Tribolium castaneum: one gene and its partners. The protein of the gene in region 3 purifies or fractionates together with the protein of the main gene of each other region. This does not show direct contact. Links are inferred from orthologs where the notes say so. Each region holds a gene or a part of one and is shown on either strand. Other genes may lie near its edges.

Region 1 (6,139 bases), on a different chromosome or scaffold from region 3:
GTTTTGTGTCTCAACTCCACTTGTACAAGGAAATGGGCTACAAAATCGACCCAAACAACATGAAGTACAAGCTGTTTAGATTAAACGTCGCCGCTAATCACGTGAAGAAAGTGAAAATCCTTCCACAAAACTTCATGGATTTGATCAAATTTGATCCCGGGTTGACTCAAACGCAGCCTGAGCCCAACGTCTACAGATGCAAGAAGTGTCGAAGAGTTTTGGCGTCCGAGTCCAATCTGATGACGCACAAGGTTGGGGGCGAGGTTTGTACCAAAACTTATTTTCTTGAACCGCTGGCTTGGATGAATGTCACTCAGACAACCCAGGATAAGTTGTATTGTCCAAAGTGTAACAGTAAAGTTGGCTCGTTTAGCTGGATCATGGGTTGTCTGTGCCCTTGTGGGGTCCAAGTGGCCCCGGCCTTTTATTTGACACCATCCAAGGTTGATTTCACCAATGTTGTGAAGAACGTTGAAATGACTTTTTAAGTACCTGATACGTGAGAAACAATAATATTATCCCAGAAAAGTCTTCCAACTTTTTTTGTGATTCTTGAACGGAAGGAAGCCTTTTCAAATAAATTCATTTTGGGATTTGTATCAAGCCAAATAATCAGTGCTTCATTATTAATTACAATAATTTCATGTTGTGTTTTGTGGCAAAATTGTGATATTGTTATAAATATGGTGTGATCAAAAATTTCCTTGAAGTTTGGATGCCTTCATAATTTTCGAGGAAAATAATTAGGGCTGTCTCCGGTACCGGCACACTAGTTTGACTCCCATAACTCTCCTACTTTTAATTTTTCGTTTGAGATTGCTCACAGTTACTGAGAAAATTGTTGTAATAGACAAAAAGGACCACTTTCTGAATACTTGATAACTTTGAATTTATTAAGTTTGTCGACGCCAATCGACTTCTTGGAACGTTTTGCATTTCAATTTCAAATTTTGTTTAAAAAACAAAGATTTTTCGTAAGCTTATTTTAAATTATTAAAACTTAAAAAAATATGCTAGTTAAACAAAAAAATTCCACGGTTTTTCTCGTTATCTGAACTGTACTCTGTACTGCTATTACTATTTAATGCCAAGATTTTAAATTTGTTGGGATGGTCACTTTAGTTCTAGGTGAAAAGATTAGAACTCGGAAACTCAAATTTCCGCTCGATATTTCGAAAATGATTCGTCATACATTAAACTGGCGGTCTGGTTATAATTAAAAAAATTTTTGAATTATTTTTACGGCTTAATTTTGATCGATCGTTGTAGAATTTTTCAAGAATTCACACCTTTCAAAAAACGATATTTTTATTTTTGTGAGGCTTTAGGGCTCCTAAAGGTGCAAAAACGACAAGTTTTCACCGATTTTCAGTTTTGCCAACATCGGAGGCATGCCAAGTAATTACTACTGTTCAACGCACATAATTTGAAATTTTTGATGGCACTATATTTGTAGGATAAGAAAGTATTAAAGTCTATTTTTGTGTAATTTTTGGCTCCAACAGGAGTAACGTAATAATGTTAATTTAAAACTCGTTGTTATAAGGTAACATAAACAAATGCTAGAGCAATACTTTTAATGAATATAAAAAAAAACAGTGATACAATAATCAACACTTCACTGAACATAAATACAGTATTGACCTTTCCAGGTATTATATTGATGGCCAAAAACAGATAAAAGAATTAAATTGTACAACCTACATTATGCTTATTTTGTTACGTTTATTACTTATTTTTAGTCTTAGAAAGAAGTGTTTTAGTGTTTGTACTTGAGTCAAGTGTAGTGTCTTTGTTTTTAAAAGATCCGTTGGCTGTTAATAAAGTGATTATAATTTTTGAACACTGCAAAATCCCTTGTGACGAGAAATTAGGAAAATACCAAATGAAATAATTTTTATTCGAAGTAATGGCAATAACATATCAAAACTTATCAACTAAGTGCAAAATGTGTTGCTGCTCCTGATCCCTCCACTCCTTATCCCCTTCGTCCCCCAAATTCCCGGCATATTCCCGCATAATGTGCCTTATCGTCTTCAACGAAGCCCCCCTAAGATTGAGGATTTGCATAACTCGCTGCTTAATACTGGCGGGTCCCGCAGCACAAACTTCCACAATAATATAATCCACCAACTGCAACGTGAACAATCCTCCTTCCAGCCGCTTCATATAACTCGCATCATCATCCTCAACTCCATTTTCCTCCTCAATGGCCTCATCAATGGCTTCAACCTTCTCCAAATATTTGAAGTGTAGCTCAAGCAACCTGTCGACTTTCTCGTGATCATTTTCCGTAAATTTACTAATGAGCCTTTGTCTCTGCGACCCGCGACAATTCCGCAGCATGGACGCGATAATCGAAGTGACGTGCTCTTCGTGCTCTTCCGTCGACAAGACTTTCTTCCTGTTCTTCTTCGGCGTTTTCATAAATAGGGGGAAAATGGTCCGCAGGCCTAAAATATCCACGAACTTGTTGCAATTGTCTTTGCCATGGGGGCCCGACATTGCGTAATCCAGCACTTTAAGTGAGCCGTTCCGCGAGGTTTTCTTCTCTCTGAGCATCAAATTCATCAGTTGCAAGCCCTCGCCTTTGAGAAACCGGTCTCGGTTTGAGACGATCATCAGTGCGCTGCACAAACAGTTGAACAGGTTCTCCATTAGCTCGTGTTCTTCGGCACTGGAGGGGTCGTGGCGCTTGTAGAAGGCCAACTGTTGCAACAAAGTGTCGATTCCGTCCATTTCGCCCAAAGCAGTTCGGTTTTTTTCGTTGTCTTGGAGCAGGATTGAGAGGAGTTCGCTGGCGTAGAGTTTGTTGGCGTCGAAAGGGGCTTTGACTTTCAACCGTTTCAAGAGCCACTGGAGCAAGCCCTGTTTGGTGGCCTCGTTGCAAATGTCATTGCGGAGTTCGGTCAAGTTTTCTATTATTGATAGGGAGTTGTGGACACCGTCTGCTTCCTCCTTCACTTTTTCGTCCAAACGGTCCAGGTTTTGGACGAGGAGGGCTATCACTTGGTGGTCGAGCAAGGCGTCAATTAGGGCTTCGGCACCTTCTTCAGACTCGTGGAGGATGTCCACATCGGTCAGTTCTTGCAACAGCTCCACGGTCGCCACCTGACACATTTTTTAATGCAATAAAGATAACAGCTGCTAACTGTTCTTGATATTTACAATAACGTTTATTATTTTTACTTACTGCCACATCAGTGTTATCATGTGCCAACAGTTCCAGCAAGCTGGGTATGACTTGCAGCTTCACAAGAAGGGGGTAATAGTCAGGTGCGGTCGATAACACCCTCATTTCTTGTAAAATTTCATGTAGTTCGAGCTCGCTCTCCATAAACTTTTCAGGCGAGTCTGGAAACTTGATCCTCATTTCTCTGTTTTTGAGACTCCGTTTTTCGAAATTTAGAACAATTCGCTTGATTGCCGCTTCGTCAATGACTTCGCCCTGAAACACAGTCTAGTTGTAAACGAATGGGCTTGGAACTGACTGAGGAGATACTTCTGTTTGTTCAGTTTCCACAAATTTTAATATTTCTTGTCTTTCTTCTTCGGATATCTGGTCCAAAGTTTGTATTGACGGGGTTGGGGATGCGGCACGGGACATTCTATTGGCTTTATCCCGTGCAATTCGCCGCATTTTTCTCTGTTTTTCGATTTCATCGTTTTCATTCTCGACTGGGCGTTTTACGCCTTGAGGGGGCTACAGTCGGAATTTTGTATTAGAAATGAATTTCGTCAAATGTGTTGACTTACTTTGTAGTCCAGTAATTCACCAATATCCATTTTTAAGGTTTTTTGGGAAACTTAATAACTAACCTCTTTGTTTATGTCAAATTTCTGTGAATTTAACCTATAAATTTTTAAAATTGCTAGAGAATAAAAAATTAAGTCACTAGAAATTTGACATTTTAACTGTCAAAAACTTGTCAGGGGATTGTAAGGTTATTTCCAATTGTAACAAATAATAAAAATTATATAACAGGTACACAAGGTCCAAATTAATTAAATTCGGGAATTTATAAGTTTTTGTAGCACAATGTCGGCGTCAGGTCGAGCTTCCATTGGTTTACTAAAACGTGGTTGGCATGAGATTCCTGATGTGATGGGCAGTGGTGTAATGGCTCTCATTGGACTTGGGCTGGGGGCTATCTCTTTTCATTTATACTACAATGTTAAAGACGGGGACAACAGACGGTACAAAATCGAATACACAGTGATTCGTCATGATGATCCCCGCGCAGAAAAAGTTAGGAAGGATTAAAGACACTAGATAATCAATATACGTTTTATTGTAGTACCATTTGTTTTGTTTAATAAATTATAATTTCATCAGTTTTTTTAACCGTACCAATAAGGAAAATAACAATAATCTGATTAAAAAATTTCCTAGTTAAAATAACAGCAAATAGTACTGTATTTACATGATAGTGTATTAAAAATCTGGCCTATTCGTAATATACATATATAAAAAGAAATCTGTTAACACCATGAGAAGAAGGGGCTCTTGTCCTGGAAGCGTTGTGTAAAGTTGAAAAATCGAGACGTTTGTTGGCTTTGTGACCTAAAAGACCGAATAATGCGTTATTATTACTGACTGAACAAATAATACCTTTCCACGACAACAGCCGGCATTTGGACTAGCTGCACCGGGGACTTCCCATCCTTCAGAGCTTGCGTTAGGTTAAGAATTTGGCCCCTCATCACTGACATTTGCCTTTCATACAGACTCCTGTCAAAGCCCTTATCTTGCTTAAATAGTAAATATAAATCATCACATAAATCCTGCACAAAATTCATATCGGCTAGCAACGGTAGAACAAGATCCTTCGTTTCTTTACTGAAGGGAACTTTAGCCTGTGGTAACCATGCCCAGTGGTACGGATAGGCCCTCCAGCTGTCTGGATGCTTGTAAGGAAACGCCAACCCATTGTCTATCGCCGCGACCTTTATCTCAGGTAAATGAACTAGATTCCACTCTGTGGTTTCGGTTAATTCTACTGGACCGTTTCCGTTAGAAATCGTAGGATGTTCGTATTTGATAAGCCAATTATCATTTCCGCGATCCGTGTTTCGTATTATATAATCTAAAACGACTAAGCGTTCAAACTGAAGTTGAAATTTTTGAGCCATTCGCGGAGGTAGAGGCTCCACCTCGAACCTCCGCAGCCAATAATCGGCGTCCTTGTAACCATCTACAAACAACTGGAATGAACCACACTAAAAAATCGGGTTAAATTTCCAAAACGTGAAATAAATAAGTAGGAACCTTTGGTGGCAGACCTATCCTGTTAAACCTTAAACCGACGTTGGGAAACTGCTCCATAATTGCTCGCTTCATGCGCGCTTTTTGCCTGTCTATTCTAGGATAATTGAACGTTTCTGACACTAATTTGACGACCTACGACACAAAGGAGTAACAAAGTGGCGCTAATTACCACGGAAGCTTATCTAATACCCTTGTTTTTGGTACAATGTTGAGATTAAGTTTTGAATCGACTAAATAAGCAGCAGCCTCTGATAAATAACCCTGATTTGGAATTAAACATGATCTGCCGAAACAGCAAGGACAACACAGCTTATGCATCCATTTCGTCCATTTGGGATTCAGACGGCCGTAAGGTTCCTCGTCTTTCGGCTTGAAAACCGCGATTATTTTCTGGAAAACACAAAATTATTTGCGGAACACCAACGCGAACTAATGTTATTTTTTGCTGCATTTTTTGAATTAATAAAATTAAGTTCAATACTGTTTGAATTTTTATTTTTGTATTTTTCTTGGTTTTATAAAAATGGAGAGTGTATAACTGTATACTCTTTATAAATAAATTGTTGTAGACAATTAATTCTGTTCTTCAATGCAGACAAACTCAATTAACTGAACCATGATCGCACAAAGAAAACTAACAAAAGATGCAATTTTTTGGTACTTTAGTTTCAAACCACAATGTAAATATCAAATGTGGTCAAGCTACCACTGATTATTCATACTTCTATTGGAATACGTAATATTATGTGCATACGCCCGGCAAATCCACTTAAATAAATGCAATTCAAATGTGCAAAGCTCATAATACTTTTGCTTAATCGAATGCAAAAGAACTTTAATACCATTTAACGGATTCTGGACTCGAATGCG
Region 2 (6,457 bases), about 7.1 Mb from region 3:
GAATCTTTTATGAAATTATTTAATAATAATGGTGTTGGGGACTTTTCACTTGTGACACCAGTGTTGCCTTGCCCAGTGCTGCCCTTGCCACTAGCAAGTGTCAGTGTGGTGTCAGTGTGAGTTTGTTTGGCGTTATTAATCGTTTATTTGTGCAATAGTTTAGCAAAAACAGTCAGGATGGGCAAAGGCTTCAACAACTACATGTGTAAGAAGTTCTTCCACCCCGCTTCGCGGGACAACCTGAAGCGGGTGTGGATGGCGGAGCAGAAGGCCGAGGCCTACAAGAAGAAGCAGGAGGAGCTGCGCCAGCAGTACGAGAAGGAGCAGGACTTGCACGACAATAAGGCGATGCTGAGCAAGGAGAGCAAAGACAAGTTGAGCATCAACTTCATGTACGAGCCCCCGCCCGGGGCGCGCAAGGAGCGCGAGCGCGAGGACAACGAGCCGGAGTACAAGTTCGAGTGGCAGCGTAAATACAACGCCCCCCGTGAGAGCTACTGTAAGGGCGATCAAGAGATTAGGGACCAGCCGTTCGGGATACAAGTGCGGAACGTCAGGTGCATCAAGTGCCACAAATGGGGGCACATTAACACGGATAAGGAGTGCCCCATGTACAGTTTGTCGACCAGTGTGGCCAGGTCGCTCGAGTCGGCCTCGATTTTGGACCAGAAGTCGTTGGTTGAGCAAATGAGGGAGGATGGGCTTGCGATTAAAAAGCAGTATTTGAGCAATACGGGGACTGCTAATTATGATTTGATTATTAACGAGGATGCTGATGAGAATTCGGTTGTGACTTTTATTAAGTCGTTGACGAAGAAGCAGAAGAAGGCGTTGTTGAAGAAGTTGGAGAAGATTGAAAAGGGGGGGAGAGATAAGAAGAACAAGAAACGAAGGGATTCAGATGAGGCTTCCTCAGATGAAGACAGGAAGAAAGCAGGGAAGAGGAAGTTCAGGAGGAGGAATCAGAGTACGAGCTCTGAGGAGGAATCGGAAGATGATAAGAAGAAACACAAGAAGAAGGAAAAGTCGTCAGAGTTTAAACTAATGTCCAAAGAGGAGAAAAAGGCATTGATTAAGTAAGTTTCGACTTTAAAACTGAGGACAATGTACTCTACTTTTTAGTCGAATATCAATTTTTTGTACGAAAATTTTCATTTGCAGTAGTTCATTTAAAAAATCACAACTCTTGAAACTTTTACAATAAATAAATAATTATATTAGTATTCGATAACCAAAGGTTCAAAGGGTCTTTTCAAATTTTCAGGATTGTCAAATGTCAAATTGCAAGACTACTATGATTTTTTGAAATTGATCAAAAAGTAATTATAACAGTTTTTTCAAATTTTTGAATGGTAATCAAAAGGATATCGATTTTTATGGAGACTTTTATCAATATCTCCTATATCTATCTCTTATACTTTTTAAAATAATCTCAAAAAAAAAAGACCAAAAGCTCATTGTTTTCAATTTTAATCGAGTAAACTTTCGAAAAATACGATAAAGTTGTGCTATTAAATAAAAGTACTGCTTATTTGATAATAAATCAACTAAAAACTAAATAAAAGTTGGACAGTTGTTGACCATTTTGCAAGGTCTACTTGATTAACTATGAAAATTACGAAGTAAAATCCGTGTTTTTTTTTGTAATTATTTCTAAAAATGTAGGAAATGGGTATAGGACGTGTTCATAAAAGTCACCATAAATATTGATGTTCGATTGCTGTTAAGAAAAAAGGATCGTTCCATTTGAAAGACTGAGTTATAGCCATATTTTGCCAAAATCATACTAGCCTTGAATTTTGACAAATGACAATTTTACAAAAATTCAAAAATCCCTAAATCGATTAAAATAATATTTTTTATTTAAAAACGACAAAAAGGGGGCAATTACAAAAAATAGTACAAAGATCTTTTAATTTACTATTAATTAATTGATTACAGGAAACTGGAAATTGTGGAGAAAGCAATCAGTAAAAGGAACGAAAAGAATGGGCGAAGAAGTTCCGATGAGGACAGGTCAAGGAGGGACAAAAAGCACTCACGGCATAACAATGATGACTACAGACGGGACAGGAAGCGAAAATCTGATGATTCCTATTATGAAAATAGCAAAAGAAGACGCTCTTAAGTTTTTGTTGTACATTTCTTAGAATTGTTGTGATTATAGGGATTATCATGATACTTGTAATAATTTAGAAAACGTAATATATTTTTAAACGTATTCCACCGAATTTTATTTATAAATCCCGCCAACTTTAGCGACAGGCTGGCTATTGGTCCATTTTCGCGCAGGCGCTTAATGAGTCGCCATTTTGTAACGCAAGCTTGTCATTGATTTTCCTTGAAAGTGTTTTGAAACGAAATAAGCCAAAGCAACAAGCATTGGTGCTAGAAAATGGAACAGATACCAAGGACTCATGAAGGTACGCTGTTTTTTGCACCCAAAAGCCCGTTTCATGACTTTTTTGCGTCTCTAGACATCGAGGCCCAAATTCGTGAAATCCAGTCTAAAAAGAAGGAAATTCCGGTGGAAGAGGAGCGAAACGAGAAGGGTGTAGGTTTAGGCGAGAGTGGCTATTTTGATAGTGAGATCTACGATGGGGGCGGCGGTAAGGGTAAATACGAGGGTTATGTGACCTCGATCGCCGCCAACGATGAAGCCGATGAAGAGGACGACGATGTGGGTTATAGTCAGAAACGGACCGGACTGGGGGCCCCTGTGGCGCTCCTCAATGATGTCGCTCAGGTGAGATTTGTGTTATTTAAGTTTTGTGGTAGTTAACTGAGTTGTTTAGAGCGACAAGGATTTTGATCCGTTTGCTGACAAGAGGAGGCCCACGATTGCCGATCGAGAGGACGAGTACAGGCAAAAGAGGCGTCGGATGATTATTTCACCCGAACGTGTTGATCCGTTCGCTGACGGTGAGTAGTTGATTTCGTCCAAGTATTTATAGCTCGTTTTTCCACTTGTTTATGTTTTATATGAAATTTGAGATAATGCTGTTGCTGTCGCTTATCTCAAGTTTTGTATGTTATTGGGGTATATGAAAGATAGCGAATGGATGCATGAGTGAGCAAAAATACTCGAGAAAGTAGGCATTAAATAAAAATCAGTACAAAGAAACTAATTTGTTCTGTATTGGATTCCAACATTTAGGGGTGTCTTCCTAGAGAAGTAATCGCCGCGATTTTAATGGATCACTTCCGTAAAATGTAACGTTGGTAAACGAAAATCGAACAAGAGTGAAAGAGTGTATGCAATGTATAGAAAATTATTAATTACCCCAGCCTATTTCTAGGTTCGATTTGACCAGTTGTTTTGCGAGAAACTGCCTGATTTGTGATGGAGCACAATCACACGTACGTATCAAGATTTGTTCGCCAAATTCACTCCCTTTCAATCCCCAATATTCGAAAAATAATCAGTTTGAGTGAATTGTGGTGCAACCAAATCTTTCAATCATTCAATAAAGAACAGATACTAAATAGAAAAGTCTGACCATTTTTTGCCAACAAGTGCTTCCGTTTACTAATTGGCGTTTTTCAACGCTGTTATGTTTACAGGTGGCAAAACACCAGACATCAATGCCCGCGGTTACACCCAGATTATGAAAGAGCAGATGCTCAAAGGAGAAGAAAACGAGGTCAGTATCAAAAATTTATCACCTAGCCAATTTTTTTTCGTAATTATGTCCGGCAATGGAGTCCTTTGTTAACTCAAAGTTGATTTCTTTGACCACTTGTAATTTAATTTCAGTTGAGGAAAAAAATTCTGGAAAAATCCAAAGACGGTTCACTCAAATCAACAAACGGTGAGGTAAAGAGCGCACCTAAGAAACGGGGGCGCTGGGACCAAACCGTAGACGAAGTCGTCGTCCCCAGCAAAAAGAAAACTCTCTCCGTAACGACCAACAGTGCAGCTGCTACCCCCATCTGGGATGCTGACGTAACAATCCCAATTTTTTAAAACCAATTATTAATAAAAAAATTACAGAAAACTCCAGCCGACCACCGCTGGGACGAAACCCCCGGCCACAAAGGCAGTGAAACGCCGGGCGCCACCCCCGGCCAATCCACCCGTATCTGGGACGCGACCCCCGGGGCTGCAACTCCAGGTCGCGAAACGCCCGCTCATGACAAGAGTGCCAGTCGTCGAAACCGCTGGGATGAAACACCCAAAACCGAGCGTGAAACTCCGGGACATTCGAGCGGCTGGGCTGAAACCCCGCGCACCGACCGAACCGGAGCCGACTTGATTCACGAAACACCGACTCCGGGAGCGTCCAAACGCCGCTCCCGTTGGGATGAAACTCCCTCTGTTCAGACACCGTCGGCGCACATGACTCCGGGTGCTATGACGCCGCAAACGCCGCACGGAACGCCAAGCCATGCCACTCCGATGCTGACTCCGGGCGGGTCAACTCCGGTCGGAGTCAAGGCGATGGCCATGGCGACGCCCACTCCGGGACACTTGGCGTCCATGACTCCGGAACAACTCCAGGCCTATCGATGGGAGCGGGAGATTGACGAGAGGAATAGGCCGTATTCGGATGAGGAATTGGATGCGATGTTTCCGCCGGGGTACAAGATTTTGGCACCTCCGGCTGGGTATATACCCATCAGGACGCCAGCAAGGAAATTGACAGCCACGCCCACACCCATGGTTAATACTCCCCAGGGATTTTTCATCCAACAGGAAGATAAGACAGCCAAATATCTGGATAATCAACCAAAAGGGCAGAATTTGCCGTTCATGAAACCAGAAGATGCGCAATATTTTGATAAATTATTGGTCGATGTTGATGAAGAAGCTTTGAGTCCTGAGGAACAGAAAGAACGGAAAATAATGAAACTACTCCTAAAGATCAAAAACGGGACCCCTCCCATGCGAAAAGCCGCCTTGAGGCAAATCACAGACAAGGCTCGAGAATTCGGTGCAGGGCCCCTTTTTAACCAAATTTTGCCCCTTTTAATGAGTCCAACTCTGGAGGACCAAGAACGTCACTTGTTAGTCAAAGTCATAGACCGAATTTTGTACAAATTGGACGATTTAGTCCGTCCCTACGTCCACAAAATATTGGTGGTGATCGAACCGTTGCTCATCGACGAAGATTACTACGCGCGTGTGGAAGGCCGTGAGATTATCTCAAATTTGGCCAAAGCCGCCGGATTGGCAACCATGATTTCGACCATGCGGCCCGATATTGACAATATAGACGAATACGTCCGAAATACAACCGCTCGTGCGTTTGCCGTCGTCGCTTCAGCTCTGGGAATCCCCTCGTTGTTGCCGTTTTTGAAAGCCGTCTGTCGGTCGAAAAAATCGTGGCAGGCCCGGCATACTGGTATTAAAATCGTCCAACAAATCGCAATATTGATGGGGTGCGCTATTTTACCGCATTTGAAATCATTGGTTGAGATTATCGAGCACGGTTTGGTCGACGAACAGCAAAAAGTTCGAACGATTACGGCGTTAGGTATCGCGGCGTTAGCCGAGGCTGCGACACCGTACGGTATTGAGAGTTTCGATTCGGTGCTTAAACCACTGTGGAAGGGCATTAGGACCCATCGCGGGAAGGGTTTAGCTGCGTTTTTGAAAGCTATTGGTTATTTGATTCCGCTGATGGACGCCGAGTATGCCAATTATTACACAAGAGAAGTAATGTTGATTTTGATTCGGGAGTTTCAATCGCCTGACGAAGAAATGAAGAAGATTGTGCTCAAAGTGGTCAAGCAGTGTTGTTCGACTGACGGTGTCGAGCCTCAGTACATCAAAGAGGAGATTCTCCCACAGTTCTTTAAACATTTCTGGAATCACAGGATGGCGCTGGACCGGCGAAATTACCGCCAGTTGGTCGACACGACTGTCGAAATCGCAAATAAAGTCGGAGCTTCTGAAATTATCAACCGGATTGTGGACGATTTGAAAGACGAAAACGAACAGTACCGGAAAATGGTCATGGAAAGTATCGAGAAGATCATGGGCAATTTAGGAGCGGCCGACGTTGACTCGCGATTGGAGGAGCAATTGATTGATGGCATTTTGTACGCGTTCCAGGAGCAAACCACCGAGGATGTGGTCATGTTGAACGGTTTCGGCACCATCGTCAACCAGCTGGGCAAAAGAGTCAAGGCTTACTTGCCCCAAATTTGCGGTACCATTCTTTGGAGACTGAACAACAAGTCGGCCAAGGTCCGCCAACAGGCCGCCGATTTGATCTCGCGGATCGCAGTCGTGATGAAGACGTGTCAGGAGGAGAAACTCATGGGGCACTTGGGCGTCGTATTGTATGAATATTTGGGCGAGGAGTACCCGGAGGTTCTGGGCTCGATTTTGGGCGCCTTGAAGGCCATAGTCAACGTGATCGGGATGACGAAAATGACGCCACCGATTAAAGACTTGCTGCCACGTCTGACCCCGATTTTGAAGAATCGGCACGAGAAAGTACAAGAGAAC
Region 3 (6,118 bases):
ATCAAACACTCAAACAGTTTATTGCCACGTAATAATTTTGTCTTTAATTTCAATGAATGAAAGTGGCTTGCTCAAAATTTAATGCAAAGAAACATTTTTTTTTTGGTTTCTTTTTTATTATTATTATTTTTTATGCTACAAACGGTAGCCAACGTGGAAGCGAAACACAGGTACGTCCATTTTATTGTTGTGTCGTATTTATTTATTTATTTTACAAACCAATAATTTCATAAAATTTAATTGCAATTACAATGTTGCTCTAAATACGGTGTTGAAAAGTCATAGTTTGAGTGACTCATTTTAAATTCAGTAACTAAAAATTAAATCAAACACTCAAACAGTTTATTGCCACGTAATAATTTTGTCTTTAACTTCAATGAATGAAAGTGGCTTGCTCAAAATTTAATGCAAAGAAACATTTTTTTTTGGTTTCTTTTTTATTATTATTATTTTTTTTGCTACAAACGGTAGCCAACGTGGAAGCGAAACACAGGTACGTCCATTTTATTGTTGTGTCGTATTTATTTATTTCACAAACCAATAATTTCATAAAATTTAATTGCAATTACAATGTCGTATACACCGGCTCTAAATACGGTGTTGAAAAGTCAGTTTGAGTGACTCATTTTAAATTCAGTAACTATTAATAAAATCAAACACTCAAACAATTTATTGCCACGTAATAATTTTGTCTTTAATTTCAATGAATGAAAGTGGCTTGCTCAAAATTTAATGCAAAGAAACATTTTTTTTTTGGTTTCTTTTTTATTATTATTATTTTTTATGCTACAAACGGTAGCCAACGTGGAAGCGAAACACAGGTACGTCCATTTTATTGTTGTGTCGTATTTATTTATTTCACAAACCAATAATTCGTTAAAATTTAATTGCAAATAAAATGTTGTGTACACCGGCTCTAATACGGTGTTGAAAAGTCATAGTTTGAGTTTTAAATTCAGTAACTAAAAAGAAAACACTCAAACAATTTATCGTCGCGTTTTGATTTTGTCTTTAATTTCAATCGATGAAAGTCACTTGCTCTAAATTTAATGCAAACATTTTTTTTTGGTTTCATTTTTATTATTATTATTTTTTTAATGCTACAAACGGTAGCCAACGTGGAAGCGATATGAAGGTAGGTGTATTTATTTACTGAAGTTTTAAATTTAAATTGCCACATATTAAAACGTATTGTGTATTTTTTATTTTGTTTAATATTGACAAATGTTGCTTGTTGTAACTTTCATGCAAATAAAGATTTTTTATTGGTGTTGTTTTTATTTTTTAATGTCTTGCTACAAACAGTAGCCAACGCAGAAGCCATATGAAGGTAGGTGCATTTTTTTGCGTTTTATCTTGTGATGTGTTGAATTTAATAGCTTGTGTGCCATATATTATACCGTATTGTGCATCCTTTATTCTGTATAATATTTATTAGTGTCGCTTTTTGTAACTTTCCTACAAATTATTTTTTTTTGTTGGTTGTGTTTTTAATTTATTTTTTAGGTTTTGCTACAAATGGTAGCAGATGCAGTATAAAGGTAAGAACATTTATTTAACGCCAAGTGAAAAACTTTGATTTTTGTGTACTTTTTTTTTATTACACAAACCAGTAATGTCTTTATTCCCTTTTATTTTCCAATAATCATTGTTTACCTCATCCTTATTTCCTTTTTTCCTGGCAAGAATGCTCTAAACCTCCACGTGGTTCTTGCTGGACAAATTAGTTATTAATTTGACTGATTAGAGCAATCTTTAAATACGAATTTTTTTAACGCAGTTTGCAAAATTGAGACATTTTTTTACAGCCGAAGGCCCTATCGAAGGGCTTATTCCCCTACAAAAATAATGAACATTGCACGGTAAAAAGGGGGTGAAAAAAAACAATTTGCATTGCTTGAATATAAGAATAAAAATGTAGTCAAGTTTTAATTTGTAATAGAAACACATTAGAATGATCAGGGTATGTTTTTCTAATGATTTACGATTATTTTGATAATTTTCCTGGTGTGAACTTGGCTGTAGAAACGAGAATGTTGCTAGCTCCAGGCGCGCAACGATTGTCTGGTCGACTGTAATGTTCATGGTGCCATCATCATTTTTAGTGCATCTGCACAGATATCTCGGCCACAGTGTTTTTCACTTTGTGCGGTTGGCGACACATCAAGCTAAGTTAGCAAAAATGGCGTTGTTTTGTGCCCGTAAGTATGAATTTTTGTTGCGATTTTGAATAAAGTACGCTTTTTTAACGAATCAAAACTTAATTCGAGTGTCAGTAATGAGCTTCTGGCGCAGTTTGGGTAACGATTTGGCCCGGTTTCAGTTTCAAACGAGGTGCCGGAACACCCAGTCGTGTCCCCAACGTCGGGTGCGATTTTCGAAAAACGCATCATCGAAAAGTACATCCAGGAGCACGGCAAGGACCCCATCAGCGGTGACGAGCTCACCGTGGACAAGCTCATTGAAATTAAGAGTGAGTAGCCTAACCCAACTTGTTCGGTTCTAACCGCCACACAGCCCCGCCGATAGTCAAGCCGAAGCCGCCGAGCGCCACCAGCATCCCGGCCACGCTGAAGCTGCTGCAGGACGAGTGGGACGCCGTGATGCTGTACAGCTTCACGCAGAGGCAGCAGCTGCAGACGGCGCGCCAGGAGCTGAGCCACGCGCTCTACCAGCACGACGCCGCGTGTCGCGTGATCGCGCGCCTCAACAAGGAGGTGACCGCCGCCAGGGAGGCGCTGGCCACGCTGAAGCCCCAAGCGGGCATCATCACGGTGCCGCAGCCCGCGGTGGCGGCCGAGGCCGGCGGCATCGCCAACCAGCCGACAGAGCAATGCGGCCTGACTGATGAAGTGATTGAGAAGCTGCAGGACAAGGCCACGGTGTTGACGCAGGAGAGGAAGAAGAGGAGCAAGACGGTGCCTGAAGAGGTGTCCACGCCGGAGCAGTTGAGGGGATTCAAGACTTTGGCCTCACATCCGGTATATTTTCAATGTTTTTATTTATACCATCCAGTATTTCCCCGAACATCTCTTGCATTTTGCACAATTGTCGTTTTAAAAATTTCACTTGACAAATGCAAAGATTACTAAATGTGGTAGAAAATGACTTAGTTTTCTCTCTTACGAGTGTTTTAGCACATTTACCAATTGGAAAAACGTGTAAAGGTTGGTGTTATTTTGCTGGATTTACTCGATTTAGCTTGTTATTGGGCGAAATTTCATCAAAAATAAGCCAAAAGTCACAGGATGTGTTCAAAACACTGATATTTTTTAACTAAATGTTCGTTCAAATAAAAGAATTTCTTTCTAACCTAATTCTAATTGAATTGAGCCAAAAATGCGTTGTTTTTTTTAAGTAAATATCTAAATATTTCAATAAAGTGATCGAAAATGATGTCATTTCAGGTTGTTTATCTCGAACTTATTCTGAGAAATCAGGAAATTAATTTGGGAAATCTTCTATTTTCGTAATACATTTTGCAGTCAAAAAGCAAAATTTCGTTGAAATCTTGTTATTTTTGCCATTTTCCGGCAATTTAATTCGTATAACATTCGACAATGTAGTTATTTCGAATTTTTTTTTTAAGATAAGAGCGAAAATGTTACATTTTTTTGTTGTTTTCAAGTGTTTTAAATTTTTTTTGAAAACAATTTAAGCTTTTTTCTATAAACATTACAAAAACTTAATAAAAAAGCACTATTTTTACATCAAGATGGTTGTTATTTTAGACCATTCCCTTCGATTTTGTTTGTTTTTGAGCCAGGAATTTATTTATTTCCCAACAATAAAAATATAAACTTATTATTTTGTTTTTATTAACTTTGATTAACTTTCGCGAAATTCCCTTTAAAAAAAAACGCAAGAAACCACAAAATTTGATCAAAATTTTTACGTTTTTTAAGCTTTAGAGCACGTTTTTGAATTTAATTTTCAGCTTTTTTGGCGAAATTTTGCAAAACCAACTGAGAAAAACATGCAGAAATAATTTTTCTGTTTTTTGAGGCTTTTCTAAAAAGGTAGATGAAAAAAACACCAAATTAATTCTAAGATTTTATTATTTTTCGAGTTCACGAGCATTTTAGTACGCTTTTAAGACAGAACTGTTTTCCAAATTTCGTAAAAAAAATAAAAAGCCGACTCTTTTATTTTACGAGATCTTGACAAAACACCTAAAAATCAAAAACTTATTATCAGCTTATTTTTGAATGAAATGTTCCCAAAAACAAGACAAGAAACCAATGAAATTGTTAAAATTCTTATTTTTTCTTTATTCATGCTTTCAAGCACATTTGAATTTTTGTTTTAATCGCCAAATTAAATATAGAAAACTACATTAATTTTTCATTTGCGATCATTTTAATACGTTTTACACTTAAAACCACAAATATTCCGCAAAATTTCGTTCAAAACCATTCGGAAACTAATTTATTTTGTAATATCTTGTCACATAAGTGAATCGACATTAATTATTATTTAATTATTTAGTATATTTGAGTTTGAGTGAAATTCGTCAAAACTCATTATAAATAAGTCGAAAATTGTGTTAGTTTTACTTTTTTCCGGGCTGTAAGCACAAACTTTTGCTAGAATTGGCTAAAATCATCAAATTAATTAACACAATAACAAGTGTTCATTTAAAAAAAACTCTAGAGTGCTTTGAAAATAAAAAAATAATTGTTTACTATGTCTGTGATTAATCCGTTCTTTCATAACCTTACTTTTTGACAACTAAAAGAAAACAGATTTTCATCATAAAATTTATTTATTATTTATAAAAACTGTTGGAAATGTCTTCCTTGTTGTTCAACACACATAACACATCGCCTTTGAACACTATTTAACAATCTTTGGCTATGAATTGTGATGACCTGGTTGATAGGCAACCAACAATACAATGATAAAAATTGATCTACGAAATCCGTAAAAATGTCAGAGCATGCTACGAGTTTTTTTTAAATAATGAACACCTGATACCATTTATTTAGTTCGCTCTTGAACCAGGAAATTCTTCATTTCATTAGAACTCGCCAAAACTGCCAAAAATTCACTTTTAATTCAGCTCATTTTTTGACCTAAATTTGGTTAATCTTTTTTTACTTTTATTAAGGTTTTGAACCACATTTTCAGTTTGTTCAAGCAAACCGAAAAATCACCAAGTTCGGGCGAAAATTAGCAGATTACATTTTTTATTGAGCTAGAGTACACTTTACAGAGTAATTTCTTTGCCTCCAGGGGCTGCATTCGGCGAGCGTCCCCGGTATTTTGGCCCTTGACGTGCACAATTCCGACACAAGCAAAATTCTGACCGGTGGTAATGATCGCAACGCCACCGTATTCAACAAAGACACGGAACAAGTTGTGGCGATTCTCAAAGGCCACACTAAAAAAGTCACAAAAGTGGTCTACCACCCTGACGAGGACCTTGTTATCACCGCATCGCCCGACTCCACAATCCGCGTTTGGAACGTGCCAACGTCCCAAACCACTCTACTGCTGCGCGTCCACGAAGGTCCAATCACCGGACTGTCCCTGCATCCGACTGGGGACTACGTCCTGTCGGCTTCAGAGGACCAGCATTGGGCGTTTTCGGACATCAGAACGGGCGAACTGTTGACGAAAGTCGCCGACCAGAGCAATATTCCCCTGACGACGGCCCAGCTGCATCCAGACGGGCTGATTTTCGGCACGGGGACGGCGAATTCCCAAGTCAAGATTTGGGACCTGAAGGAGCAGCTCAATGTTGCGACTTGCACCGGACATGCGGGGGCGATCACAGCCATTTCGTTCTCGGAGAATGGGTATTACATGGCGACGGCTGACGATGCCTGCGTCAAGTTGTGGGATTTGAGGAAAGTGAGGAACTTTAAAACGCTCCAGTTGGATGAGGATTACCAAATCAAGGACTTGTGCTTTGATCAGAGCGGGACCTATTTGGCGGTGGCGGGAACTGATGTCAGGTAAACAATTTTTTTAATTTTGATTTGTTTCTAATTTTTTTTTTCTTAGGGTGTATTTCTGTAAGCAATGGCAGGAACTGAAGGTGTTCAATGACCACACGGCTGCAGCGACGGGTGTTAGGTTCGGTAAAGACGCCAGGTTTATAGCTTCCACTTCC

Evidence for each region. Proteins that work in one complex are often made in the same cells at the same time.
Region 1: the proteins of Prp19 (region 3) and beta-catenin-like protein 1 purify together in Homo sapiens (affinity purification with mass spectrometry; 4 studies listed by BioGRID and IntAct, counting the BioPlex papers as one, with this or other methods). This does not show direct contact. The link is inferred for Tribolium castaneum from reciprocal best matches to the Homo sapiens genes PRPF19 and CTNNBL1.
Region 2: the proteins of Prp19 (region 3) and Sf3b1 purify together in Homo sapiens (co-immunoprecipitation; 4 studies listed by BioGRID and IntAct, with this or other methods). This does not show direct contact. The link is inferred for Tribolium castaneum from reciprocal best matches to the Homo sapiens genes PRPF19 and SF3B1.

What each region holds. Positions count from the first base shown.
Region 1 is NC_087398.1:8,514,005-8,520,143, forward strand, and holds beta-catenin-like protein 1, read right to left. Parts: upstream 3,887-6,139; 5' UTR 3,787-3,886; coding exon 3,757-3,786; intron 3,704-3,756; coding exon 3,503-3,703; intron 3,449-3,502; coding exon 3,194-3,448; intron 3,112-3,193; coding exon 1,924-3,111; 3' UTR 1,880-1,923; downstream 1-1,879. Other genes in the region: MKP-4 (dual specificity protein phosphatase MPK-4), read left to right, coding at 1-488; uncharacterized protein NdufA3, read left to right, coding at 4,040-4,264; Pi4KIIalpha (phosphatidylinositol 4-kinase type 2-alpha), read right to left, coding at 4,483-4,564, 4,613-5,220, 5,270-5,401, 5,459-5,659. UniProt on the Homo sapiens protein: Component of the PRP19-CDC5L complex that forms an integral part of the spliceosome and is required for activating pre-mRNA splicing.
Region 2 is NC_087395.1:16,039,102-16,045,558, forward strand, and holds the start of Sf3b1 (splicing factor 3B subunit 1), read left to right. Parts: upstream 1-2,278; 5' UTR 2,279-2,395; coding exon 2,396-2,423; intron 2,424-2,477; coding exon 2,478-2,746; intron 2,747-2,795; coding exon 2,796-2,922; intron 2,923-2,927; exon of another isoform or gene 2,928-3,360; intron 3,361-3,564; coding exon 3,565-3,644; intron 3,645-3,757; coding exon 3,758-3,946; intron 3,947-3,994; coding exon 3,995-6,457. Other genes in the region: corepressor interacting with RBPJ 1, read left to right, coding at 178-1,076, 1,942-2,128. UniProt on the Homo sapiens protein: Component of the 17S U2 SnRNP complex of the spliceosome, a large ribonucleoprotein complex that removes introns from transcribed pre-mRNAs.
Region 3 is NC_087395.1:23,125,340-23,131,457, forward strand, and holds the start of Prp19 (pre-mRNA-processing factor 19), read left to right. Parts: upstream 1-2,069; 5' UTR 2,070-2,077; coding exon 2,078-2,201; intron 2,202-2,323; coding exon 2,324-2,473; intron 2,474-2,517; coding exon 2,518-2,981; intron 2,982-5,235; coding exon 5,236-5,960; intron 5,961-6,009; coding exon 6,010-6,118. UniProt on the Homo sapiens protein: Ubiquitin-protein ligase which is a core component of several complexes mainly involved pre-mRNA splicing and DNA repair. Required for pre-mRNA splicing as component of the spliceosome.